Rattus norvegicus: one gene and its partners. The protein of the gene in region 3 purifies or fractionates together with the protein of the main gene of each other region. This does not show direct contact. Links are inferred from orthologs where the notes say so. Each region holds a gene or a part of one and is shown on either strand. Other genes may lie near its edges.

Region 1 (3,500 bases), on a different chromosome or scaffold from region 3:
TTTGGTCTCTCACTGCTGGGACCCAGCTTCCTAGTCTCTGGCTGTCCCTCCTGTGTTTGTACATAGCTGTCCATGTATGTTCATCACAGTCCTTTTTCCTTCAGGAGGGTATTGTGTATTTGTGTGGTCTGGACCAGACGTGGTGACGTAGACCTTGCTCCATCTTTCCTTTTGCCAAAGGGAAGGAAGGTGCCACCAGCTCACTTACAGCAGGCCTGTCATCGGCCTTCTACATACAGAGCAAAAGGGAAGGAAGGTGCCACCAGCTCACTTACAGCAGGCCCGTCATCAGCCTTCTACATACAGAGCAAAAGGGAAGGAAGGTGCCACCAGCTCACTTACAGCAGGCCCATCATCGGCCTTCTACATACAGAGCAAGAGCCCAATAATCTTCATACTTAAAAATACTGGGAAAGCCAGGCATGGTTGCATGAGCCTTAACTATCAGCTCTCCAGAGGCATAGGCAGGCAGACCTATGAGTTAAGGCTAGCCTGTTCTGCATAGTGAATTCCAGGATGGTCAGGACTGCATAGTGAGACCCTATCTCATAAACAGAAGAAAGAAAAAGAAAAAAAGGAAACAACCACAACACCAAAATGTTGGCAAATATTTTCTTGTTGTCTCAAGTGTAGCCATGGCTAGCCTGGAATTCACTCTGTAGCCCAGTCTGGCCTCTGCCTCCCTAATGCTAGGGTCGTAAAGGTGTGTGTCATCACAACCAACAGTTTGCCTTGTAAATTACTTGACCACTGAGGCCTCTTGGCTCAGAGGGGAAGGGCACAGACTGGGGCAGATTTGGGAGCAAATTTGTGAACTTGTCTCGTGAGATCTGACAGTTTGTATAGTGTTGAAGACTTCGCACACTTTAGTCATTTGTGCAGTGACTCCAGAATGAGTATCATGTTTGTTGATTAGCAAGCCTGAATGTTCACACTCTTCTAATCACTTGCTCACACTTTCAAGAAGTATCACATCAGAATAAAGTTACGCAAAGACCATTAGCAAGATAAAAGTGAGTGGTCTCCACACTAAGTAATAAAGACCTGTGGATTTTGGAGAAAAAGATCCCAGTGTCGTTACCTGCTGAGAATGCAAGGAGCATCTGCTTTGACATGGTCTTCTGAGTGACATCCTCTGTCATGTACACGGCACCACCCATGGCAGTAAGTCAGACACCCAGTCTTGGCAGTAGAATAAACCCAGTGACTGTACGCTGACCTGGCAGGTGTGAGTGATAAAAGCACTTTAGAGTGAGGGACAGAGAACCCCTCGAATAGGATTCTGAGTTGTCTACAGAGTGCATTTACTTTTACACTTTTGCTAGTTGACATCTCTAAACCAATGTATCCCTCTCTCCCCAGGGATGCCTCTGCACTGCTGGACCCCATGGAATGCACGGACATGGCCGAAGAGCAGAGAGTGCATAGCCCTCCCGCTTCACTAGTGCCAAGAATTCACGTGATTTTAGCCCAGAAGCTGCAGCACATCAATCCATTGTTACCCACTTGCCTTAACAAGGAGGAGAGCAGAACCTGTCAGTGTGAGTGTTGGGGCCTACCGATGGCAGGTTCCCTGTGTGAACTGCAGTCCCTGCTCAGCACAGGGAGTTTTCTAGTCATGTCTGTGGGAGATGAGACCTAAACGACGAAGGGTATAGATTGTCTTTGTTCTCACGTCTATGTCACTTTCTAATTTTTTTAAATTTTATTTAATCTTTTTTTTTACACTCCAGATTTTATCCCCCCTCCTCATTTACCCTCTGACTGGTGCACATCGAATACCCCCCAAACCTCTCCCCCTCACGTCTCCATGAAGATGTCCCCATCCCACCCCCTACCCCACCAGACCAACCCCACTCTCCCTGGAGCCTCCAGTTTCTTGAGGCTTAGGTGCATCTTCTCTGATTGAACCCAGACTGGCAGTCCTCTGCTGTACATGTGTCGGAGGCCTCATCTCAGCTGGTCTGTGCTGCCTGGTTGGTGGTCCAGTGTCTGAGAGATCTCAGGGGTCCAACTTAATTGAAACTGCAGGTGCTCCTACAGGGTTACCCTCCTCCTCAGCTTCCTCCAGCTTTTTCCTAATTCTACCACAGGGGTCAGCAGCTTCTGTCCATTGTTGGGTGTAAATATCTGCATCTGACTCTTTCAGCTGCTTGTTGGGTCTTTCAGAGGACAGTCATGATAGGTCCTTTTTTGTGAGCATCCCATAGTCTCAGTAATAGCGTCAGGCCTTGGTGCCTCTCCTTGATCTAGATTCTACTTTGGGCCTGTTGCTGGACCTCCTTTTCCTCAGGCTTTTCCCCATTTTTGTCCCTGTAGATTTTTCAGACAGGAACAATTATGAGTCAAGAGTTTTTGACTGGGATGCCAACCCCATCCCACTTGATGTCCTGTCTTTCTGCTGGAGGTGACTGTACAAGTTCTCTCTCCCCACTGTAGGGCATTTATTTCATCTCAGGTCCCTTCCTTTAAATCCTGAGAGTCTCTTACCTCCTAGATCTCTGGCATATTCTGGAGGGTCCTCCCACTGAGGAAGAGTAGAATATGCGTGTGTCAGGGCACAGATGTGGAGGTAAAAGAAAAACTTAGAAAATCCACCTCTCCTGCTGCTGTATGGGTCCTGGGGATCAAGCTTAGGTCATCAGACTTGGTGGCAAATGCCTTTACCCTCTGAGCCATCTTGCCTTACCCTAATGGCATCATTGTCTCAAGAATTGTAGTACTCCCTCCTGCTCTTGTACGTGCACACTCTCATTGGCCATTCCTTCCTTCTGCAGTTGTGTCCAATTTCATGTCCGAGTTGTCTCCAGTCAGAGCAGAGCTGCTTGGATTCCTCACTCATGCACTCTTGGGAGACAGTTTGGCTGCTGAATACCTTATATTGCATCTCATCTCCACCGTGTAAGTCTGTGCTCTTCCTGGGAACTGGGGTGTGGGAGAAAGAAGGGAACAGCCGTGATGTTTGTTTGTGTCTTTTAGTAAATCAGCTTTGTCTTCAAGTGGGTTTTTACAAATGCTGCACCAAACACAGACTCCTTTCCCCACTTTACTTCGTTTCACATAACGCATTTGTTTCCGTCTCCAGATGGGATGTGACTGATGAGTAAGACGAACTGTTGGTTTCTCTGCACTCGTTTTATTTTTTATTTTGTATATACTTCAAATGTTGTATCTCCTGGTCTCCTCCCTATACCCTGTTTGCTTGTTTATGTGTGTATACTTCTCCAGGCTCTGCTTATAAAACAATGAAGTCTGTCTTTGTGTACATTTAGTTTGTGTATTGACTTTAATGCTTCCACCCTGTTTTGGTTCAATTTTTTATTTTGTTTTTGTTTGTTTGTTTTTGTTTTGAGACATGTTTTTTGTTTGTTTTGTTTTTGGCTTGTTTGTTTGTTTGTTTGTTTAGCCTTGCTCGTCTTTAGCTCTGTAGACTAGACTAACGTCGAACTCACAGGTCTCTTCCAGCCTCTGCCTCAAGTGCTGGAATTAGAAGTGCACAC
Region 2 (4,092 bases), on a different chromosome or scaffold from region 3:
TAAAAAAATATGTCTAAAAGAGGTCATTGTTTACCTAACATTCTACGTCAACCTGCTTCCAATCTAACTGCAAGACCGTCATTTCTTTACAAGACGGGCAAGATAATTTTCACTTTCAAAAATGCATCATCAAAACAATGATTTCCAATTCGAATTTCTAATTTATCTTATTACTCCAAACATACGTGTAATTGTCCAAACAATGAACAAATACTCTCTTACCAAAACTATTTGTTGCTTCTTCTTTACTGCCTTTCACTTTTTCAAATTAAATAGAGAATGTTACCTGTTCACTATCACACAGAAGCCAAATGTCATCATAAGTGTAAAACACTATCTGTGACAAATTCTGTATTCAATTAATATCCGGTGCTAGCTAGCTGCTTGTTAGGGGTCTGACATTAAAAATATTGCGGGGAAGCGTGGGGGAAAAAAATCAAAGTTTAAACCCAGAGGAGAAGCCTTGTGAAGAAGCATGGCTCTTTGACTGACCAGCCCAGCCAAAGGCTAGTCCTTTTGCTGCCTGTGAATATCTAATCATAAAGTCAATCAACAAAGCTGTTTAAGCACCATAGTTTCTAGACTGGAGACAAACTTTTAGGATGTCACCATTGCCCTTTTCTGTCTTAGTTGGCCACGACCTGCTCATGCATAATTCACAAGTTTCTCTGCCCTGACCTTGGGTTGCCCCAGGCGAGGCATACACCCCGCCTTTTTTTTTTTTTTTTTTTTTTTGCCGTTCAAGAGCCCTGTTCTGCTCTCAAAAGGGTATTAACGGTCTTATTTATTGGGCGCAAAGCAAACTTTAATACCCAGCAGGGCGGAGGTCACCTGTGACCCCAGGCCAGGCCATAAAGGTGCCAAGGACACAGGGCTGCTCTCTACTACTAGGGCAGAGGTGATGGGCTGCCCTTGCCTCGTGAAGAAACCCAGAATCGCAGTCCCAAGAGGCCAACCTAGCCTAGTTACCCTCCCAGTCACCTTGCACTGAGTCCCGAGCTGCCAGAGTCACCGCCGCCGCCACCGTTCTACTTCCGGCCCTGGCTCCGCCTACACACGCCTACCCGCCATCGCAATGCACTATGGGCCACCGCTTCAGTCGTTCGACGCTCACCGGACAGGAAGCGCCTCGAAGAGAGTCTGCGACCGGACGCCTCTAGGTGAGACAGAAGCCAAACAGGAGGAGGAAGTGGAGGGTAAGTGCTTCCGGGTCCCTCAGCTAAGACTCCGCCATCTTTCCTACACTTAACTTCACCCTCTTTTCCCTCTTGGAAACACTGCACTGTACGCATGCGTGCTTTGGCCTGTCCCCTAATTCAAGCTCCCTACGGAGTCAACGTCCTGATCCTTGGGGTTGGGGAGGTGGATGTAATGTGGGGTAAAACGAGCGCGTAAAACAAAGCGGCTTGGGGCGTTTGTGCCTCGCGAGCCCCCGTTGTCACGGGCGTTCGTGTCGCGCAGCCTGCTGGGAGTTGTAGTTCCAGGCCCAGGGGTGCCTGGGAGGCGGGAGAGGGGCTGGGGTTCCTTAGCGCCGATTCCGCGGGAAGGGCCCCGGGGCCTCACACTGCTACTCGCGGGACCGGCGCGTCTTACCCAGAGAGACGCTGTACCTGGAGCCCGCGCCGCCGCCGTTCCCAGCCGGCTCTGGAGCGCGGGCGAGGGCCACGGGGCGGATTCCGGAGCTGGTGAGTGCGGCTGCGGGCTGGCGGGGAGCGCGGGCCCGCGCGGCCGGCCTGGTTCCGGGGCTTTCCCCCGCCGCAGCCCCCCCGCGGCCGCCTCTGTGTTTTGTTTCCGCTGGTCCCCGGCGCTGTGACTCCCATTTCCGTTCGTGGAGACTTGAGGGAGCCGGGTGGGGAGGGGCGGGAGAGGCTGTGCGGGGAGCCGAGGGGAGGGGCGCGGGAAGCGGCGTGGCCGGGGCCGCGCTGCGGGACGCTGCGGAGTCGCCCGTCGCCAGGCACGGTCCAGGCTCTGCGCGCTGACGGTGCGCATAGTCCCGGAGCTCCCGGGTCTCTCTGAAAGATGCCAGGCTTGCCTATCACCGCACTCGACCATCCCCGCACTCCAAACCCAGTTGCTTTTCTGGAACTGTCTCAAGAGTCGCACCGGTGCCATCATTCTAATGTACAGGATAACTTTCTGTTTCTTTCCCGAAGATGTCAGTGAAAGTTAATATGCCTTTCCAACTTTATCCCCCTCTTTTTGTGGTGTAGTGCAGTGAACACAACGAGGGAGTTTAGTGATTCCACCCTTAGGTTAAACAGCATCGAGAGTGGTGCCAACGCATCGTTTCATGATAAGCAGTCATTTGAAACTAAATCCTTAGGTAGGCCAGGGAGATGGTTCGACAGGTAAAGGCATTTGCTGCCAACCAAGCCTGACTGTTCAGCCTCAAATCCAGGTGGAAGGAGGACAGGACTGACTGGCCTCTGACCTCCACAAATGCGCACAAGCACCCTATAAAGTGTTTGTGTTTGTGTGTGTGTACACACGAGTAAGTTTGTGTTGGGTGTGTGTGAGTCAAATTCTAGCCTGGCTGACCTTGAACTTGCCGTGTAGACTAGACCCGCCTAGAGTTTAGAGGTCTATCTGCCTCTACTTTCAGTGCGCTGGTATTAAAGGCGTGCTCTACCATGCCTAGCAAAATAAGTGCAATTTTTTTATTGGTTATTTTATTTTACATTTCAAAAGTTTATGTCCCTCTTCAATTTATGCAAACTGGTAGCTTGAGCTAATGATAGGTCTGACTGCTGTCAAGAGCCAAAGCATACAAGTCCACCATTGATTGTCACATTCTTAGGTGCCCCACTCCACCAGTCACTGGCCACCTTGTTAGCACCCTCTCCCTCGGTATTTGTATGAATACTTGAATGCCAACAGGATTGAAGTCCATTTATCTGTACTCAAGAATAGAAGTGTAAGTGGGGGTACATAGTCCTGACAGTGAATTAAGTACTAAGTGAGATAGCAAGTTTGAGGAGCTTGGGGAGCCAAGTACTGAATCAACCTGAGTCTCTGGCAACTGTACAACAAACCTACAGGACTGAAAAGGAAATCAGTAGTTTTGAGAACTCGTATGCTTTTCACCAGAAGGGGATTGGGGGCAGGATTTCAGACAGGGTTTCCCTGTATACCCCTGGCTGTCCTGAAAATGTTTTCTGTAGACTAGGCTGGCCTTGAACTCAGATGAACCTGCCTCTGCCTCCCAAGGGCTGTGATTAAAGCATGCACCATTGCCATCTGGCTCAGTTTTTAACTTTTTAATTCATTCATTCACTTTACATCCCAGTCGTTCCCCTCCTTGCCCTTTCCCCCAAATCCCTCACCCCATTACTCCTTTGAAGGGAAGCCCCGCTTCACCCCACCCTGTGACATCCAGTCACAGTAGGCCTTAGCCTATCCTCTCCCACTGAGGCCTACTGGGCAGTCCAGTTAGGGGAAGGGGATCCAATGCCAGGCAACTGACTGAGACAGCGCCACTCCAATTGTTAGGGGACCCACATGAAGACCAAGCTGCACATCTGCTACACATGTGTAGATGGTCTAGGTCCAGCCTCTGTGTGTCCAGGTTAGTTGACTCTGGAGGTCTTCCTGTGGTGTCCTTGACCCCTCCAACTCCCTCATTTTTATCCCCAACTCTTCCACAAGACTCCCTGAGCTCCGCCTGATGTTAGGCAGGGGTCTCCACATCCATTTCCATCAGCTGCTGGGTGAAGCCACTCACAGGACAGTTATGCTCGGCTCCCATCTGCAAGCATAGCAGAGGATCATTAATAGCAGCATTGGGGCAGTTTTTAACTTTTAATCAGATTTGTGTTTTGTTCTTTACACACACAACACAGATGCACATACTATACTTTTTTCTAATGTTGACCATATATTCTAGGAAATACACAATGCACCATGGATAGTTACTTTTAAATTTCATTTTGGAATAATTTACATTTGTGCATTTCTTCATACCCTGGATTCTTTGATTTACTTTGGTGAGCTTCCTTTTTCTGTGCTGCTGGGCTTTGCCAACTTTGGTAGTTGTCCCAAGTTAACTGAAGACTTGATCTATTCCACTTATTAGTCCCTTGTCATTTTCAGGAG
Region 3 (4,078 bases):
CCAAAAAAAATAAAATCTAAGGTGCTGGAGAGATGACTCAGCAGTTGAGCGCACTACTGACTGCTCTTCCTGAGGACCAGAGTTCAAATCCCAGCACCCACGTGGCAGCTCACAACTGTCTGTAACTCCAAGACCTGACCCTTTCACATAGAAAAACATTCAGGCAAAACAATAATGCACACAAAATAAAGGTAAATGAATTTTTAAAAAAAGATTTAAAAACAAAAGTAAAACCAAGTCCTGGGGCTCTGCGTTCCATTCCAGTATCTCTTAAGTATACTGGGAGTCTGTGACTACAGTACTTGGGAGACTGACACAGGAATCAGGAACTTAAAACCATCCTCAGATACACAACCAGATTAGGGCCAGCCTGAGCTACATGAGGCCCTATGGAGAAAAGGAGGAAGAAAAAAAGAAATCTTCCTCCAGCCTTGAATGGCCGCTCCAGTCTCGGAGAGCACTATGCTGGCCCATCCCACTTCTTGTGACAACTGAGCCCAAACCCCAGGTCTTACTCACCTCCCCGAAGTGCATGTAGATATACTCCCGAGCACGCTGGTGCAGTTCCGTGCAGCCGATCTGCTCGGCGAAGTTGGCGATGCCGATGGCGTTGCTGGGGTCCAGCTGCTGCACGAGGAAGTCGCTGCAGGCTCGGACCACGCTGTCAATCTGGTACATGACTGCCCCGTTCATCACATGCAGCACACACTTCTCGCCCACGGAGATGGAGGCCGTGTAGGCGAACTCAATTAGCCTCTCCATGACCTTGGGGTGGATGCCTTCAATGGACACCACCTCCATGCCCTGCTCCCGAAGCCCGTTGGTGAACATAGCTTTAAAGACTGGGCTGGAGGAGGCCAGCACCACTTTGTGGGCCATGAATTGGGCAGCTGGGATGTCCTCATATTTGACCTGCAGGGTCACGTCACAGAGCTGCTGGCTCAGCCGAAGCTCGTTCATGATGCCAAAAGCCTGCTTGGTGTGATCCTCTAGTGTGTAACTGAAGGTTCGGTTACCATCCTGCGAGGGCGTCACCTCCGCCTTGCACTCCGTGGATGCATACATCACCGCGTCCCCTGCCCCCTCCGGGCACTTTGACCACAGGGGCAGGAACTGGCTGCTGCGGGGAGCCCCGCTAGGCTTGGGTTCGGGCTGCATGGGGTTCCTGATGACAAGATACAGTTCCACCACTAGCGATTAGGGGCCTGGAAGGAGGGAAGAGTACAGGGCTGGATTAGGCCAGACCCTGCCACATTTTTTTTTTGTTTGTTTGTTTGTTTCTTGTTTTCTTTTGAGACAGGGTCTTAGCCTAGGCTGGCTTCAAACTCACTATGTAAACAAGGCTGTTTGCTGTTTCCTCCCGTGTACTGGGACTACAGTTTGTGTCACCATATCTAGCCAAGCTTTAATTTTTTTTTTTTTTTTTAGACTAAGCAATGATTTCTAGAGCAGTTTTTGTCAAGCCAAGTGAACTGGACACACCCGGCTCCATTCAAACTGACTTCTTCTCAAATCACCGGCCGTTCCTTTTCCTGCTCAGAATCACCCAATACCTATCCCAGAGCCCAAGAGTGGAAACCCAGCTCCTCAATGGCCTGTAAAACTCCACACCCCCTTCTAGACCTCTTCACTCAGTTCCAGCCATGCTTCCCTTCCCTTCATCCGACATGTCAAATCCCTTTCTTCAACACCTCACCAAAATTTACAGAGCCTGCCATTTATACTTGCAACTGTTCTGAGCTCCAGGGACACAGCAGGAAGACAGAAAAGGCCTGAAAATAAAGCAAGGTCTGTATAGAAAACACTAGGCGAGCACCAAGGCCCTGGGCAGAGTGTGCAGCCTCTGGAACACCCACGGTGAGGGATTCAGGAGACCCTTGGAGACCTGGGGCCAGGACAGGAGTTATGCTTTCAAAGGAGATGTGGGGACACAGAGAGGGCCTGCAGCTGGCTCCCCAGGTTCTGGGGCTCAGCCTGGAGTCGCGTCCCCCAGTGTTATGTCTACTAGGTCACCATGGGGGGGACGACGATGAAATGCTCCAGGGGCCCCAGTAAGTGAGCGACTGTCACGCGTGACCACACTGCCGGAGCTCGGGCCTGGCATTGCGCAGAGGGCTGAGCAGCAGCCACCCGGTACCCGGTGCCTGCTCCAGCGGCCTCCCTAACGCTCGGAGGCGCAGCCCTGACGCCTGGAGAGCCCGCAGGGCCTGGTCCCGGGCCGCGGCCCGGAGCGGCGCACTCACCCCGCCATGGCCGCGCTCTGCCTCCGCCTCCGCCGCGCGGGTCACGGTGACTAAGCACAGCGCACCACCCTGTCACAATAAGAGTCCCGGGGCGCCGGCCGCGGGCGACCCCTACCCTCGACTCGCCTCGGCCACCACCCTACGCGGGTGCACGGGCTGGGCGCGGGTGCGCACTTGGAGGGGTCACGCGCTTCCCCCCACCGCGTGCACGTCCCCACGCGCGACCGCGGGCGGCGCCCGGAGCTGGCTCCCCACCGCATCCTCCGCGGGCGCTCGCTCACCTCCGTCCCACCCCCCCGGGTGTCTCTGTTGGTGCCACGCGTCCAATCCGCACCGCCGGGCCGCCACGCGCCGCGCTTCCGGGAGGAGCCGAGGGCAGCCAGGGGGCCTCGGATCGGGGCAGCGGTGCTGCGGGGTCCCGGGCGGCACGCGTGGGAGGAGCGGGAGGGCGGAAACAGGCGGCGGGCACGCAGAGGCGGTTCCAGCCCTTCCTGCAGGTGCCGGGCGGAGGGAGCAGGGCGTGGGTCAGGGCGGCCCTAGGAGCCTGCCTCCGGGTTAGGCTGTCCAGTACGCCTCTAGCTGAACCTGCCCCAGCGGACCCTCCCACACCCTACCCGGCCCAGCCAGACCTATGTACCTGGTTGAGATACAGATCTTCCTTTAAAATAACTTTTTAATGGTTTCTATTTCAATTCGCATTTTACTTTATGTGTGTGGGTGTTTTGCCTGCGTGTATGTCTGTGCCCCGTGGGCGTGCAGTGCCCCCTAAAGTTACAGGTTATCCACCCTGTGGAGAGGGGGAATTGAACTCTGGTCTTCTGCAAGAGCAACAGGTACTCTTAACTGCTGAGCCAGCACCCCAGCCTTATAACTTCTTTTTTGAGAATGGCCTCATTACATAGCCCTGGCTGGCCTCTGCCTCTCGCTCTGCCTCCTGCGTGCCGGGGTGAGGGGGAGTGGGGGGGTGGGGGTTTAAAGGCTGTGACACCACGCAGGGCTTTGTGTACATTAATTTATTTGTGTGTATGCTTGTGTGTAGAGGTCGGGGGATGACTGGCAGAAACTGATTCTCTTCCCCTATGTGGAGCCTGCAAGGTGCAACAGCAGCCCACTTTCCTCTCTCCTCTCTCTGTAGTCATTTTTTCATGAGGAGAGGTGTGGCATTCATCTGAGGGTGTTGGAGAGTTGGAATGCCCAGAATTGCCTTTCTTTGCATTTCTCATTATATATATATATATATATATATATATATATGATAAGAGATTCTTATTTGCTACAAAGGCATTTATGAGAGAAAATTATTTTCTTGACCTATAAGATTTGGCCAATTCTGGCAACTAAGTTCCATCCCTGTTTCTCACGTGGTAGTAAAAAACTTACTCCTCCAAGTTGTCCTCCAACCTCCACATGCACACATAAATTAATTTTGGAAAATAAAGTTATTATTGGTGCTGGAGAGATGGCTCAGTGATTACAGCACTGACAGCTCTTTCAGAGGACCCAGGTTCAATTCCCGGAACTGGTATTAGGGTCAAAATGAACGCCTATAACTCCAGTTACAGGGGATCCCATACCCTTTTCTGGCTTCCACAAGCACCACAACCATGAAGACAAAACACCCATACACATAAAATAAAGATAAATAAAAAAATTTAATATTATTTGACTGACTGGTGCAGACAAGATGTCATTTTTAGCCCAGGCTAGCTTTGAACTCTGTCTCCTGTCTCCATCTCTCCAATGGGATTACAAATGTGTATTCTGGGTTTTTTCTTTCAATTTATTTTTAATTTCATGTTCATTGCTGTTTTGCCTGCATGTATGTCTGTATAAGG
Region 4 (3,965 bases), on a different chromosome or scaffold from region 3:
GGCTGAGGCCCTGTCAGGAAAGCAGACTCTTACGGACAACTTGCCACACTGCCCTCCTGGCAGCCAGTTTAGAGAGATATCAGGGCCCACTATGCAGGCACCTCTGCAGCCACAGTGGACCACCAAAACTTCTGTTGAACACTTGCTTCAATCGTGATCAGTCCAGACAGCCTCCACTGACACTGAAAAGTAGTATGAACAAGACATGCATGCTGGTGAACGCCGATGACCTTGCGATAATCTCATCCAAGCCAGATGGAGAGCACTTCCTCGGTGGCTCTGCAGAAAGCCTGTGGTTGATGCAAACGCATGAAGGACTGCCAGGACTGGGACTAAGACCCTTGCCACATCCCTTTTCTCTTTATATATAAGCCAACTGAAGCTCACTTTCCAGTCAGTGGAAATACAGCTTCTTGTGTCCCTTTATTTGATATTACAATTTCAGGCCTTAAAGATTTTTGTAAATAGTTTAGTTTATTTTTATTAGTAGTAGGGTAGGCTGAGCTGGTTACACAAAAAGGCTGACTGAGGCTAGAGAGAATAGAGAGCTGAGGTTATAGAAGGCTGTGGAAAAAATGAGAGATTCTGTTGCTAAGAGTTTTAGGGCCATTTTAGTCATTGTCAAAGGCCAAGGGTCCTGAGAATGTCTGAGGTTAGGGGTTCATTCAGGAGCCTTATTACCTTATTATTACCAAATGCCTGCTGCTGTTCACTACTGCTCAAAGCTAAAAATTATAATAGCTGCCAAGTGCTGGGCCTGTCGGTAGTTAAAGCCCAGAGCAATAAGCCCAAGCCTATAAGTCACTGGGCCTGCTAGTCTAGTCCCTAGGCCTTGAATTTGGCAGGGTCTAGAACTGCCAGCACTGGAAGGGCAGGTGGACACTTTTCCTACACAGAAAGACCTGGTCATTTGATCAATAACAACTAGGCAGAGGCGCGATGGTAGGTGTTAGGAAGATGTATACACTTAAGGATTACAAAAGAAAACACAAAAAACTTTAGATCTAGAGCAAGAGCCAATCCTGAGGTTTTTCAATTCATATAAATCTAATGCCTGACTGACTTCGTCCCCCTGGAGTCTCACCCGCCAAAGGGCAGGCATCTGCGCCTTCTACCCTAAAACCACCGGCAGGTGGCACTCCTTATCGCGTTTCCTGCTGTTTCGGGGAAAGGGGTGGGACGTCCACTAGCCGGAAGCGGAAGCGTGTCCCTGGCATCCCGCCGTCCGGTCGTGCGGCTTGCGGCATGGCTTTCCGGCAGGCTCTTCAGCTGGCGGCCTGTGGTCTGGCGGGTGGCTCGGCCGCTGTTCTCTTCTCGGCGGTAGCGGTAGGGAAGCCGAGAGCTGGCGGGGATGCAGACACGCGCACGACAGAGCCGCTGGCCTGGACCGGAGCGCGCCCCGGGCACGGCGTCTGGGACTCCAACTGGGACAGGTGCGGGGACGGGAGGGTGGGGCTCAGGCCTGTGCCCTCACATGCATCTCGGTGTGGCAGATATCGGTGCCCTGAAGGGGACGGTGTGTGTTAGTGGGTCTTGAGTTTGTGTGAATCGGGGCGACGGCCCTTTGAGGGTTCCCATACCAGAAGGTGCATCTTCCGAGGGTCTTCGTGCCTGGACCATCCATCCCTCTGAGGGACCTATACTCGCTCGGACCCCATCCTCGAAGAGTCCTTGTTCAGAGACCGTCCACCCGAAGGACTTCGTCCCAGGACCTTTGTGGGCCTGAAATTCTAAAGGCTTAAATTTTACTTATAGTCAGGGTCTTGATCAGGTTTGCCTCACAAATTGTCCTGATGCAGCTTGGGGGAAAATTGGGACTACGAGCTTGCTTTTCCTCCAGAGTCAGAGAACCTGTGCTTGAAATAGAACCAAGGGAACCCATGGAAACCGGGTATAGTGGCGTAGGACTTTAATCCCAGCACTGGGAGTCAGAGGTAGGCAGATCCCTGAATTCTTGGCTCTGTAGAAAAACCCTGTCTCTAAAAAAGGAAAATGAAGTTACCTGATATTAAATGTTTCATTTTTTTTTTTTTGCCATGTCTGCATATGCAGATGGACCGGTAGGTACAGTGACTGGATCTTTGTTAGGTGGGGGAAGGATGCATGACAGACAGATGGATAAACAAGACAGGAAGGGACTAAAACTGGCATATCCACTTGGTTTCTTTCTGCTGTGCATTCCTCTCTGACAGTCCTCTTCAAATTTTGTCTGGTCCAGCCAGCCCCACACATTCCTGTATCTGCAACAAGACTTTGGCTTGGTTGTATATGGGGCTAACACCCCAGGTTAGCCTGCTCAGATAATGCTTGAGCCACCACCAAACTCTGCAAACCTTCCTCTTCACCATTGCTGTCATTTGTCCTGTTCCTGCCTCCTACATTTAGCTGAGTAGCTTCAGTTTCTTCAGCTCCTACATCCAGTCCACTAACTGCGGTCCTCAGCATTGTGATGGTCACTACCTCGTGACTAGTGAACATTTAAAGTGTGTTTAGTGTGACTTAGAAAAGAGCTCTATTTTTATTTAGTTTTAATTTAATTATAGTAATCCCTCTAATGCTGAAGGATTGGTTCCAGGGTCTCTGAACATATCAAACTCTGTGGATGTTCAAAATGATGAAGTATTTGCAGATAACCTAGACATCTAGCTTATCCTCCTGTATACGTTAAGTAATTCCTAGATTATTTACCACCCCCAATACAATAAAATTGCTACCTAAGTAGATGTTAAATTATATAGCTTGAGGTAAAAATCACATACAGAAAGGTCTTTTTAATTCAGGTGTGAACTTTTGAGTATTTTTGATGCCCGGTTGATTGAATATTGAGTATGGAATCTTCAGCTACAAAAGACCTAAGCATATTCAATTTACTTATTCAACCTGGCCTTTTGCAACCCTTCCTCCTCAGCTTTCCATGTGTGAGGAGTCCAGACTCATACTATGAGAAAATAGAGCCAAGGGCCCATGTCTGATATTTTTAATTTACATTAGGGATGTTTGTGCAAGCTTGTCCTCCTTGTGCTTAGAAGGCTGAAGTAGGGTTGCTGCGATGTCAGCCTGAGCTACACTGAGAGGGCCTGTCTTACCACCAACAAAAGGAGTGAATGAACAGCCATGGGCTGGAGAGATGGCTCAGTGGTTAAGAACACTGACTGCTCCTCCGTAGGTCCTGAGGTCAACTTCCAGCAACCGTATGATGGCTCACAACCATCTGTAATGGGATCTGTTGCTCTCTTCTGGTGTGTCTGAAGATAGCGGCAGTTTACTCATATGCATAAAATAAATAAATCTTTAAAAAGCAATGAAACAGCCCCATGACTACCGGAGTCATACAGACAGTCCTGTTCTAGGCTCTGTTGCAATGCAACTTTCCATTCTTACCCCTGTCCTATCACTGCTTGCATATTTGTGGCATTATTGACAGTTTTCCTTTTTTTCCTTCTCGTGCATGTGTGAGTCTGTGTGAGAGCCTGAGGCACATAATGGAAGTTCTTTCTTGATCATACTTCAGATTTATCGTTTAAGGCATGGTCTCTCAGTCAAGCCCAGAACTTGCTAATAGAAGTAGTCTGACTACACAGCTTCTTGTGGGCATCCTGCCTCCACATTCTGAGGGTGGAGTTATAGGTGGGTCACTATCCAGTATTTATGTGGCTTCTGAACTCCAGTCTTCCTGCTTGTATAACAAGCACTTTAACCTCTGAGCCATCTCCCCAGCCTGTCTTCACAGAAACATGAGCCTAAGGCTTCATGTTCTATGCACACATCTGTATCACCCAGAGCAAGGCTGGCCTTCGGGAAGAGTGAAGATGTGCTCTGTGAGGCTAGGCTCTCTGGGCTGGGCTTCCCCCCTGGCCTTTTCCCAAGCACTGAAAGGTGTCTTGGACAAGAGGTCACAAGACAAGACATACTTTCATAATTAGGCGAGAGCCACTGTCACTCATTAACCTGAAGAAAAGGAACGT
Region 5 (2,557 bases), on a different chromosome or scaffold from region 3:
AGCATGGACCGGGAACCCACCCTCATGGTGGACACTGGAGTTGATCAGCCATTAGGAGGCTGTCACCCAAAAGCTGTGGTCTCTCCCCTCCTCTCTGAGCCTCAGTTTCCTCCTCTAGGACAGTGTGAGAACGGGTTAGAGAAAGAGACCTCAGTAAAGTGGTTGGCATTTGGAAGTCTGCATCCCCAGAACTCACAGGGCCAGGCCAGTGTGCAGTCACAGCACTGAGGAGGCTGAAGTCAGACCCTGGCCCTCACCAGACAGCCAGACAATCCGAATTAGTGAGTTCCAGGCTAATGCGACCTCTCAAACCGCAAGGCGGAATGGCCTGGATCCTTTGGCTTCTGCATGCACATGCAAATCTGTACCTGTACACACACGTGCAGGTACGCAGATCAGGGACCTGGCAGCTCATATGATGAGCCCAAGAGAGCTGAGGTAAATGGATCCCTAGACACCCTAGGCCCAGCTCTCCCCCACCCCAGCAGCACATAAGAAAATGAGCTTTAAATAAAGCGTTTATTGGTGAGCAGAAGCTTATACAGTTTGCATAGATTCTTCATACCATAACTGGAAGGATGGAGACCCCCAAGGCACTAGAGAAAGAAGTCAGTACTCGATGGAGTGAGGGCCGGGGACTGGGTGTCCCTGAGCACCGGCCACGTCCTATGGGTCTGAGGCCTGTATCTGGGGAGCAGGTCCACAGAACAGAGACCTCATCCTGGGGCCTTGTAGTGGCAGTTTCTACTTTGGTCTCCCAACCCCGGCAGCAGAGTCTGGGGAGGCCCAAGGTGACAGTCATCTACTTGACTGACCCTTGGTTTGACCCTTGCGACTAAGAGGGAAAGATAAGCCCAAATGGTTCACAAGGACAATGGAAGAAGGGTCTGGAATTGTCAGGGTTAGGTGACGTGAGTTACAGAGACCAAGGATGCTCTGCAGTGTCTCAAAGCCATGGCCCTCAATGTTCCCGTGGAGCTTCTCCAGCTTCCCGGCATGCAGTGAGACAGCCTACACCCAACCCTGCAGTTGTCAGCCCAAAGTAGGGGTAGATAACCAGACAGATGCACAGCAGTGGGCACCCAAGACTGCAACCTCAGCTACCTTCACTTTGCCATCCTGGCCTTCGACCCTCCCAAAGACCCTCCCCTCAGGACACTTCCCCTGCACAGACTTAACACATTCTGGGCCTTTCTCATTCCATCGCTCCCCTACCAGACCCCTAAGCCCCGCCCTCCCGCACCAGTAACCCGCAAAGTGTGGCCAGTGAGCACTCTAGTGTCTGTCTAACCTTGGGACCTGCAGGGAGTGGGCAGGACAGAGGCCAGGCCTCCGCCTCTTCCTTGCCACTTAGGCAAGGGGCCCCAGAGTGAGATGACAGCTTTCCAGCTTCCTAGACATGAGTTGCACCAATGCTTTCATCTACCTCCGTCAAGAACCACCGGGAGGGAAACAGGTAACAGCGTGAGGGCAGGATGGAGGGGCTCCCCAGCCCCTTGCACAAAGAGGAAACCCTCAAAACCAGACCTAGCATCGGAGACCAGCCCACAGAAAACGAGGCAGTAACAGGTGTACTAAACCCCATAAAGTGACTTGGATAGGCCAGACCCCTGGAGGTGCCACACCACCCCAGCTACCTTCTCCACAAGGCACAGACTGGAGTACCCCTCCCCAGAGATGAGGCTGCGGTGCCCAAGGAGAAGCGCCCCAGTGCAGAGTCCAACAGAAGCTGGGAGGCCATGCCTAGAACTCCGTCTGCACTCCTGCGCTGTCCTCGGTGGTGGTATGGATGGGGGGACGGCTACCAGGGCTAGACACTTTCTCCCCGGTCTCTTGATCACTGGGTTTAGGGGGCTCAAGGTCCACAGCTTTTCCAGGTGGGAGGTGCCGGAGGGGTGAGGCTGGTGGCGAAGCCTCTAGGACTGTCATGGGCTGGGGGCTCTCTTGGACCGGGGCCCCATTGAGGAGGGGGCTGGCTGGTGGAGAACTTTCAGCCTGCAGATCCTGGGCCAACAGGCCTCGGAGCTCAGTGACATTGTCCGGGGATGCAGGTGATGGCGGTTCAGAGCCAGCCTCAAAGGGCAGCCCTGACTCCTCGTCCTGGACCACGGACACCACCTGCTTGGCACGCCTGCGCTTTTCTGTGAGGGTGGCTGCTTCGGAGGGGCAGGGGCTGCCACCACTGTCACTGCCGTCACCGCCGTCACCATACTGTTCGCCCCAGTCAATGGGTGCACCCTCAGCCAGCAGGTGTAGATTGGGGTCGCTGTTATGCAGAACCACGCTGTCCCGGTAGAGGTTATGTTTGCGCTGCACTGCCGCCTCCTTCACAGCTGCAAGACCCCAAGAGAGACAGCACTCAGCATGGACCGTCATAGCAAACCTGACATCCTCCCGGGCCCTTTCTCACCCCCCCAGTGTGATCTATGCCTGGACCCTGGTCTCCCTGCCACAAAACTATAACTCAAGCCTGGAAACCAAGCCAGCAGCCACTACGTCCCTCACTGATCACTCTCAGCAAAGCCAGGAACCAGAGAGGAAACTTAAGGCACAGAGA
Region 6 (3,500 bases), on a different chromosome or scaffold from region 3:
CACAAGCATCAGAGCTGGACACAAGCATCAGAACTGGACACATAGGCAGGATGCAAGCATCAGAGCTGGACACATAGGCAGGACACAACGCTTGCATGGGATTTTCTGGTACCATAAAAGCTGCTCCGTTTGGGAGGAGGCTTTCAGGTTAGATTCAGCCTGGGTCTTCTTCTGGTCTGGTGTATGAAATGGGTGGTGTCTTCAGCAATAGGGATTTACCTTCAACTTCTAGGAGGCAGCCAGAGGCAGCTGCAGTGAGCTATAGCATTTTGGGAGTTTCTTGGACTCCCCTGACCAACAGCTCATAAGGGGGCTTCTAATGCCTGGTTTTGGGGTTTTTGTGAGATAGTCTATAGCTTTTGGGGGGAAAAAACATTGTCGGCCAAGGTGGGAAAATTTTATTTAGATTATGCGTGTGTGTGTGTGTGTGTGTGTGTACGTGCACACACACATATATAAACATAAACACATATAGACTTAGATATATTATGTGTATAATTTAGGTAAATAGGTAAAAAGATTTCTTATGACTTTTTCAGATGTTCTTACTATACCCTCCTTCCTCTTACGCATTGACCTTTGTCCCACTTCCCACTCCCACCACCACCCCATTTCTCCCATTTCCTCTTCAAATTACATTTACCCTGCTCCCTGCTACTCTCTTCTGTATTGTACTCACCTTCCCCCATGCTCCTTTGCTAGTTTTCTGGCTTCTGCTATTTTTCTGACTCTAGGTTATAGAGTAAAATGTGAAGATTTGAATTAAGAGCTATCGTGAAGGAGAATATGTGATGTTTGTCTTTCTGGGACTGGATTAACTCAATGTAGTCCTTTCTATTTCCATCCATTTGCCTACAGATTTCATGGTTTCATTTTTCTTAACTTCTGCATAGTATTCCATAGTGTGTATGTATCATATTTTCACTATTCACTCCCCAGTTGAAGGACATTCAGAATGGTTCCGTTTCCTAGCTGTGGTTAGAGCAGCAGTAAGCATGGCTGAGCAAGTGTCTGTATTTAGTAGGATCTGTCAGGTAGGTAGCAAGTATCTGCCAGGTCCTTTGGGCATATGCCAAAGAATGGTCTGTTCAGTCGTGTGGGAGATTTACTTTTCCTTTTCGAGGATTCTCCACGCTACTTCCCCTAGGAGCTGTAGCAGTTTGCAGTCTACCCACTCCCCCACTTCCCCTCCAGCATTTGCTGTCACTTATCCCATTGGTCTTTTTGCCATTCTGATTGGGGTAAGATAAAAGTCTCAAGGACTTTTCTGATTTGTAATTTTCCCAATTGCTAGGGAGTGTGAACATTTATTGAACTATTTCTTAGCCATTTGTTTCTTCTTTTGAAAAGTCTCTACTCAGGCCTCGGTTTCAAATGGGTTGTTGGTTGTTGCTCTTTGATTTTGAGTTGTGTGTTCTGGATATTAATCCTGTCAGAGTCAGAGCTGGTAAGGGCTCTCTTCCATTCTGTGTACCTCCTGTTCAGCTCACTGTTTCTTAGCTTTTCAGGAGCTTTTTAGTTTTATGAAATCCTATTTATCAGTTGTTGGCCTTAATTCTTGGGCAAATAGAATTCTACTTAGAAAACCCTTTTCTATACCTTTATCATCTAGGAAACTGTCCAAGTTTTCTGGATTCTAAAGTTTTAAGGCAATCTAGCTCGAGCTGAGATTAGAACTTGTTTGTGGCTTTTCAGAATTTACTTTCTTCCCGGGCTCGTACAGTTAGTCAGGCCCTCGTGGCCTCGTCACCGCTGCTGTGCTGTGCACTTGTTTCGGAGACTTTGAGGGCTCACTGTGTTCGCAGTTGGGAGGGGAATTTAGGAATGTGGTACAGAATCTCAGTAAGGTTGGTTGAATATCTAGCTTGATGTATGTTAGAAGAAAAACATTTAGAATAATATGGAAGTTTAAGTTATAATCCTTTGCAGTCTTGTGTTAAGTGTTGAGGACTGTGGTGTGTGGCATTGTTGATTTTGTGTTTGGTCACCACAACAGTGTCCTGAGAAAATAATGAGAGATATTCTCACCCAGAGCTTTCGTGGTCCTTTTATTCTGTTTTCCATAATTTTAGAAATTATGTCTTCCCTGCATAGATTTTTGCAAACTGTTTTGTTTTCAGTTTCTTTTATTTTTGAGAACTTTGTTTTGTCTTTATTTTGTGAGACAGTGGCTCAGTATATAGTGTTCATTCTTATCTTTTCAGGTGCTAGAATTGCAGACATGTGCTACCATGCCTGGCTTCAACTTCCTTCCTTCTCTCCTTCCCTCCTTCCTTCCTTTCTTCCTTCCCTTCCCTCTTGCATACTTTGTAATAAGTTTTTCTATATTGAAGATTGTGCCATACTTGGATATTTGATGATTAGTTAGCATGCTAGCAGACTGCATTGTTTTACAGAGTAAGAAGCGACAATATGACCAAGAAATTGAGAATCTAGAGAAGCAGCAGAAACAGACAATTGAACGACTAGAACAAGAACACACAAACCGCCTGAGAGACGAAGCTAAGCGCATCAAAGGAGAGCAGGAGAAGGAGCTGTCCAAGTTCCAGAATATGCTAAGAAACCGAAAGAAGGAGGTAAGGGTAGCTATTGTTGTTAACTACCACAGCCGCTTTTTAAAATGCAAATCGCAGACTAAGGAATTAGGGATAATTGTGGGTGACTGAATAGTACTCATTTATTTGTTCCTCTGTTCTGTCTTCCAAACAGTGATAGGCTGGCAGTTAATAAAGTCAGATATTATCCTCATTTTGCTGGCAAGAAATCGGGAATAAAAGAGGTTTCAGTGCCTGTTTTTGAACTAAGTCTTCAAATACAGTCCAAGCTGTATTTCTTTCTGCCATCCCTTCTTATTAATGCGATATTTAGGGCCTTCTTTGGAAATACCTTTTCAAGAGAACTTAACTTCTTTGGTATTTACTGGTAGCAGCCAGAATTATTATTTACAATTTACTTGACATTTGAATTTTTTTATTAGGTTTATTGATTTTTTTTTAAGACATTTTACCAAGCAAAACCTGAATAGCTTGATATTCAAAATAGCACCTCTTACTATACCTTTGGGGAAAAAAAATTATGTGATTATAACAAGGTTTTGACTTTCCCGAGCTGCTTCCGGGTTGTTTTGTAGCTGGTTATCAGCTAGTAAAGAGGTTCCTAGATTAAAATCAAATACATCCAAGCGATTGCCAGTGATGATTTTATGATTTGTTTTACATCTGCAGTGCAGGTGAGGGATTTACATTTTCAGTATATAAACAACCCCAGGGGAAAATAATTACGGTCAGATCTATTAGGGTTGAAAGAAAATATCTCAGCCAAACTAGGAAATACATTTTCACTTTTGTTTCATGTCTCAGTTACCAAGATTTTAGCATCTGACTTACACATTTAATTAAGAGGAAAACTGAACATCATATTATTAACTCCTGAGGATATATTCAGGTAGGACTGAGCATTAACAGCAAGTACCTGATGCTGTCCTTAGGACTGAGCATTAA
Region 7 (3,981 bases), on a different chromosome or scaffold from region 3:
AAGCCGGGGCATAGCCCTGTGTGCCTATAACCTCAGTGCTGTGGAGAAGAGATGGGAGGATTATTGGGGTTTGCTGGATGCCTACCAAGCTGTGCGTTCAATGAGAGACCCTGAGTAGGACACCCAGTGTGGTCCTCTCACTAACAAACACACAGGTGTTGCAACCGCTCATGCATATGCACACATGCCACACACACACACACACACACACACACACACACACACACGTGTCCTACCACCAACAGCCTTCTTGTATGGTCTGCTTCTCCAATTTTCCCTTTTAAGAGAGGGAAAGACCGTATCAGAGGCTTGATTTCCAATACAGGAGCATGATAGATAGGATGGCTCAGTGGGTAAAGGGCCTTACCAGCAAAGGACCCCCATTATTAGTGGAAGAGAAAACGAACTCCTCCAAGTTGACCTCCAGATGTATACACACACACACACACACACACACACACACACAGAGAGAAAGAGAGAGAGAGAGAGAGAGAGAGAGAGAGAGAGAGAGAGATCCAAATATTGCAGCAAAATCCGAGAAAAGATATTGGAGGGACGAAAACACGATTGGGCAAAGCTGATAATTGTTACAAGTCCATGATGGCGCGCGTGGGCGTTCATTATCCTATTTCCTCTACTTTGGGGCATGTTTGAAAATTTTCATAACCGCTCATTTTTCAAAACAGAGTGGGGAGGGGGAGTTTCTCGTGAACTTACGGTGAAAACCAGAGACGCCGTGACAAATCACAGCCAGTGGGTCACACTTACTAGGTATTTATAAACAGCCAGGTACCCAGAACATGTCCAGCACGTTCCTTGAGACTCTTTTGGAAAGCCTGCAGCCCAATGGCACCAAAAGCCCACAAGTAAGGGAATCCCTGGCCTCCCGCAGGCTCCTCCTTTTTCTCTCCGCCCTCCATGCCCCTCCTTCCGAGGAAGAGTTGCCCTGAACCTGGCAGGTATAGGGTTAAAGCAGCCAGTTTGGGGCCGCAGCAGCAGCAGAAGCAGCAGCGGCGGCGGCAGCAGCTGCAACTGTAGGCTGCGGCTGCGGCTGCGGCTGCGGCTGTGGCAGGCCTGGCTCCGGGCCAGCTGGCAGAGAGCCTCAGGAGGGAGGAGGGAGGAGGGAGGAGGGAGGAGGGAAGAGGGAGGAGGAAGAGGGGAAGGAGGAGGAGAGGAGCAGTGAGCAGGCCCGAGAAGGCAGGACTTCCTGGTGTGGGGGTTGTCAACAGCCCAGAAAGAGAGAGCCCGAGACCCAGACTGAGACGGAGCGGAGCGGAGCTGAGGAGCCGAGAGATACATCCAGTGGGGCCACGTGGGAGGAGCCTTGAGAGAGAGCGAGCCACTCAAGGGACTGGAGTCAGCGGGGGGCTGAGCCGCCCCCTCCCACAGCAACAGAGAAGACCCGTGGAGTGTTAACGGAGGCTGCGCCTGGGCTCCACCGTGGAAGCGCTGGTTTCTTCTCGTCTCAACTGCAAACTTTCCACCGAGATGCCTCGCAGAGTGAGATGCGGACGCCAGAGAACACTGGGCAGCCCTTGACTGCTGCCTGCCGTGGCCTGCGCTAGGCCGCCTTAGGATTAAAAAAAAAAAAAAAAAAAAAGGCATCTTTAGTCCCCAGGTCCTCTCTCCAGCTCAGCTCGGTGGCCGAGGCCCGAGAGGTAGGTAGTTTTCTCGGGCTGGGCGGGGCGCGCTTGGCTTGGCGGGCAGTGCCTAACCAGCGATGGGGGAGCTGGAATGGGGGTGGGGTGGGCTTGAGGCCCAGCAGAGGCCTCAGGGTGGCCCTTTCAGGGGAGGAGCCGGTTCACCCCTTTGCCCCTGGCCCTGGAGATACGTGTTGGGGACGACTTTGGATTTCAAGCATGAAATGTTCAACTTTGGGTCCCAGCTGCTTCTTCCTGTTCTGGGTGCTTTGAATTCTGTCCCCTCCGCTCCGGTCTGTCATTTCTACTTGTCTCTGGGTCTCTAGTGGCTTTCTTCTTCCTCCCCCCAGTCGGCTCCCCCGAGAGGAAGCCCCGGAGGTGGTTTGGCCCCTGCTTTTTCTTTTGCTCACGTACACACACTCTCGCTCACTTTCTGTCTCTTTCTTTTTCCAGTTTGCAAGCTCAGCTCTGGGGTTTCAGCAGCGACAGCAGCAGGAAAAACCTGCCTCTGCTCCCCCCCCCCCCCCTCCTGCCACCTCCCCTCTCCAGTCACTAACCAGGCACCCCCAAGTTCCCACAAGGCCCTCCTGCCATGACGGACCCAGACGTCCCCAGGGGCCCTGATGTCCCTGCCATGTGGCCCCCTTGTTCCAGAGGTGCCTGAGCCCCTCTTCAGGAGCCCAGCCCCTCCCCCACCCCAGCCCAGTCCGGAGCCCTAGGGACCATGAGTGGTGGTAAGAAGAAAAGTAGTTTTCAGATCACCAGCGTCACCACGGACTATGAGGGCCCAGGAAGCCCAGGGGCTTCGGACCCCCCTGCCCCTCCGGCTCCCGCTGGGCCCCCGCCCCGCCTCCCCAACGGGGAACCCAACCCTGATCCAGGGGGCAGGGGCACCCCCCGGAATGGCTCTCCGCCACCTGGAGCCCCTGCCTCCCGTTTCCGGGTGGTGAAGCTGCCCCAAGGTTTAGGAGAGCCTTATCGACGAGGTCGGTGGACGTGTGTGGATGTTTACGAGAGAGACCTGGAGCCCCCGAGCTTCGGTCGGCTTCTGGAGGGAATTCGAGGGGCCTCAGGAGGCACCGGAGGCAGATCATTGGATTCTAGGTTGGAGCTGGCTAGCTTGGGCATAAGCACCCCTATCCCTCAGCCAGGCCTGTCTCAGGGCCCCACCTCTTGGCTCCGCCCGCCCCCTACTTCTCCTGGACCACAGGCTCGATCCTTCACAGGGGGGCTGGGCCAGCTGGCAGGACCTGGCAAGGCTAAGGTGGAGACGCCCCCGCTGTCAGCCTCTCCACCCCAGCAGCGCCCCCCAGGGCCTGGGACTGGAGATAGTGCTCAAACCCTGCCCTCCCTGAGGGTAGAAGTGGAGTCTGGGGGTTTAGCAGCCGGAACCCCTCCTCTGTCACGGAGAAGAGATGGAGCAGTTCGGCTGAGGATGGAGTTAGTTGCTCCAGAGGAGACAGGGAAGGTAAGAGATGGGCTCATGGGGGGCGGGGCAAGACCTACTGTACTCAGTCGTCTGACCTATATCCTGGGCCTCCCCACCTCAACTTCCGTCTCCCCCCCCAATCCCCTATATTGGCTGCCTATTGGGTAGAGCATAAAGTCCCCTTTTCCCTTTTTACAGTTTGAACTGTGAATCCTTTCTTTTTCTGTCCCAGGCCTTCATTACTCTGCACACATTTACACCTTCCTTCCTCCTTCCTTCCTTTTCCCCTTTCCGTCTTTTTTTCTTTTCTCTCCTTCCTCTGTGGCCTTCACACTGTTGCCCTTGGCCCTGACTGTTTCCATAAAACCTGTGGCCGATGTGGCCTGCCCACTTCAGCCTTTACCTTCTCTGGCTCCAGGTGATGAGGGTGGAGGTTCCAGCCTGGTGGCTGGCTAGGCCCTGGAGGGGAGGAGCTGGCAGGGGTTTGGGGCAGCCATAAAAGGTAGGCATTCCTCTGGGTCTTTATTCTAACCAACAGCTACCAGCCCAGCCCCATTTTCAGCCTTACTGCAAACCAGTTTCTCTGAGGAATTGGGGTAGGGGGTGGGGCATATCACCCTTGGTTGGTTTTAGTACCCTAGACCTGGGCTTCTGGAGTGTGGGATGGGGTGACCTCATCGACCATTGAGTGGGAGGTAAGGAAGCAGTTGGGAAGGAGTTAAATCCTCTGCACTTTCTGTTTCCTGTCTCCAAAAGAGGAAGCTACCCACAAGTCTGGGCTGGGGGCAGGATGCCTATGTGCCTGGTGTGTGTGTGTGTGTGTTTGTGTGTTTGTCTATTTGTCTATGTGTGTGTGTGTGTGTGTGTGTGTGTCAGTGTCTGTGTCTGTCTATGTGTGTGTGTTCAGTGTGT

What was found.
Region 1: the proteins of Keap1 (region 3) and Mcmbp purify together in Homo sapiens (affinity purification with mass spectrometry; 3 studies listed by BioGRID and IntAct, with this or other methods). This does not show direct contact. The link is inferred for Rattus norvegicus from reciprocal best matches to the Homo sapiens genes KEAP1 and MCMBP.
Region 2: the proteins of Keap1 (region 3) and Gabpa purify together in Homo sapiens (affinity purification with western blotting; 3 studies listed by BioGRID). This does not show direct contact. The link is inferred for Rattus norvegicus from reciprocal best matches to the Homo sapiens genes KEAP1 and GABPA.
Region 4: the proteins of Keap1 (region 3) and Pgam5 purify together in Homo sapiens (affinity purification with western blotting; 6 studies listed by BioGRID and IntAct, with this or other methods). This does not show direct contact. The link is inferred for Rattus norvegicus from reciprocal best matches to the Homo sapiens genes KEAP1 and PGAM5.
Region 5: the proteins of Keap1 (region 3) and Niban2 purify together in Homo sapiens (affinity purification with mass spectrometry; 3 studies listed by BioGRID and IntAct, with this or other methods). This does not show direct contact. The link is inferred for Rattus norvegicus from reciprocal best matches to the Homo sapiens genes KEAP1 and NIBAN2.
Region 6: the proteins of Keap1 (region 3) and Slk purify together in Homo sapiens (affinity purification with western blotting; 3 studies listed by BioGRID and IntAct, with this or other methods). This does not show direct contact. The link is inferred for Rattus norvegicus from reciprocal best matches to the Homo sapiens genes KEAP1 and SLK.
Region 7: the proteins of Keap1 (region 3) and Tsc22d4 purify together in Homo sapiens (affinity purification with mass spectrometry; 4 studies listed by BioGRID and IntAct, counting the BioPlex papers as one, with this or other methods). This does not show direct contact. The link is inferred for Rattus norvegicus from reciprocal best matches to the Homo sapiens genes KEAP1 and TSC22D4.

What each region holds. Positions count from the first base shown.
Region 1 is NC_086019.1:192,712,882-192,716,381, reverse strand, and holds part of Mcmbp (mini-chromosome maintenance complex-binding protein), read left to right. Parts: intron 1-1,362; coding exon 1,363-1,541; intron 1,542-2,777; coding exon 2,778-2,901; intron 2,902-3,500. UniProt on the Homo sapiens protein: Associated component of the MCM complex that acts as a regulator of DNA replication.
Region 2 is NC_086029.1:37,373,976-37,378,067, forward strand, and holds the start of Gabpa (GA-binding protein alpha chain), read left to right. Parts: upstream 1-1,292; 5' UTR 1,293-1,685; exon of another isoform or gene 1,686-1,746; intron 1,747-1,984; exon of another isoform or gene 1,985-2,121; intron 2,122-4,092. Other genes in the region: Atp5pf (ATP synthase-coupling factor 6, mitochondrial), read right to left, coding at 1,115-1,292.
Region 3 is NC_086026.1:28,051,243-28,055,320, forward strand, and holds the start of Keap1 (kelch-like ECH-associated protein 1), read right to left. Parts: upstream 2,801-4,078; 5' UTR 2,525-2,800; intron 2,384-2,524; exon of another isoform or gene 2,244-2,383; intron 1,206-2,243; 5' UTR 1,159-1,205; coding exon 520-1,158; intron 1-519. UniProt on the Homo sapiens protein: Substrate-specific adapter of a BCR (BTB-CUL3-RBX1) E3 ubiquitin ligase complex that regulates the response to oxidative stress by targeting NFE2L2/NRF2 for ubiquitination.
Region 4 is NC_086030.1:52,067,858-52,071,822, forward strand, and holds the start of Pgam5 (serine/threonine-protein phosphatase PGAM5, mitochondrial), read left to right. Parts: upstream 1-1,165; 5' UTR 1,166-1,245; coding exon 1,246-1,433; intron 1,434-3,923; coding exon 3,924-3,965. UniProt on the Homo sapiens protein: Mitochondrial serine/threonine phosphatase that dephosphorylates various substrates and thus plays a role in different biological processes including cellular senescence or mitophagy. Modulates cellular senescence by regulating mitochondrial dynamics.
Region 5 is NC_086021.1:36,619,912-36,622,468, reverse strand, and holds the end of Niban2 (protein Niban 2), read right to left. Parts: intron 2,334-2,557; coding exon 1,744-2,333; 3' UTR 501-1,743; downstream 1-500. UniProt on the Homo sapiens protein: May play a role in apoptosis suppression. May promote melanoma cell invasion in vitro.
Region 6 is NC_086019.1:256,449,639-256,453,138, forward strand, and holds part of Slk (STE20-like serine/threonine-protein kinase), read left to right. Parts: intron 1-2,396; coding exon 2,397-2,576; intron 2,577-3,500. UniProt on the Homo sapiens protein: Mediates apoptosis and actin stress fiber dissolution.
Region 7 is NC_086030.1:24,586,007-24,589,987, reverse strand, and holds the start of Tsc22d4 (TSC22 domain family protein 4), read left to right. Parts: upstream 1-1,181; 5' UTR 1,182-1,658; intron 1,659-2,093; 5' UTR 2,094-2,364; coding exon 2,365-3,108; intron 3,109-3,981.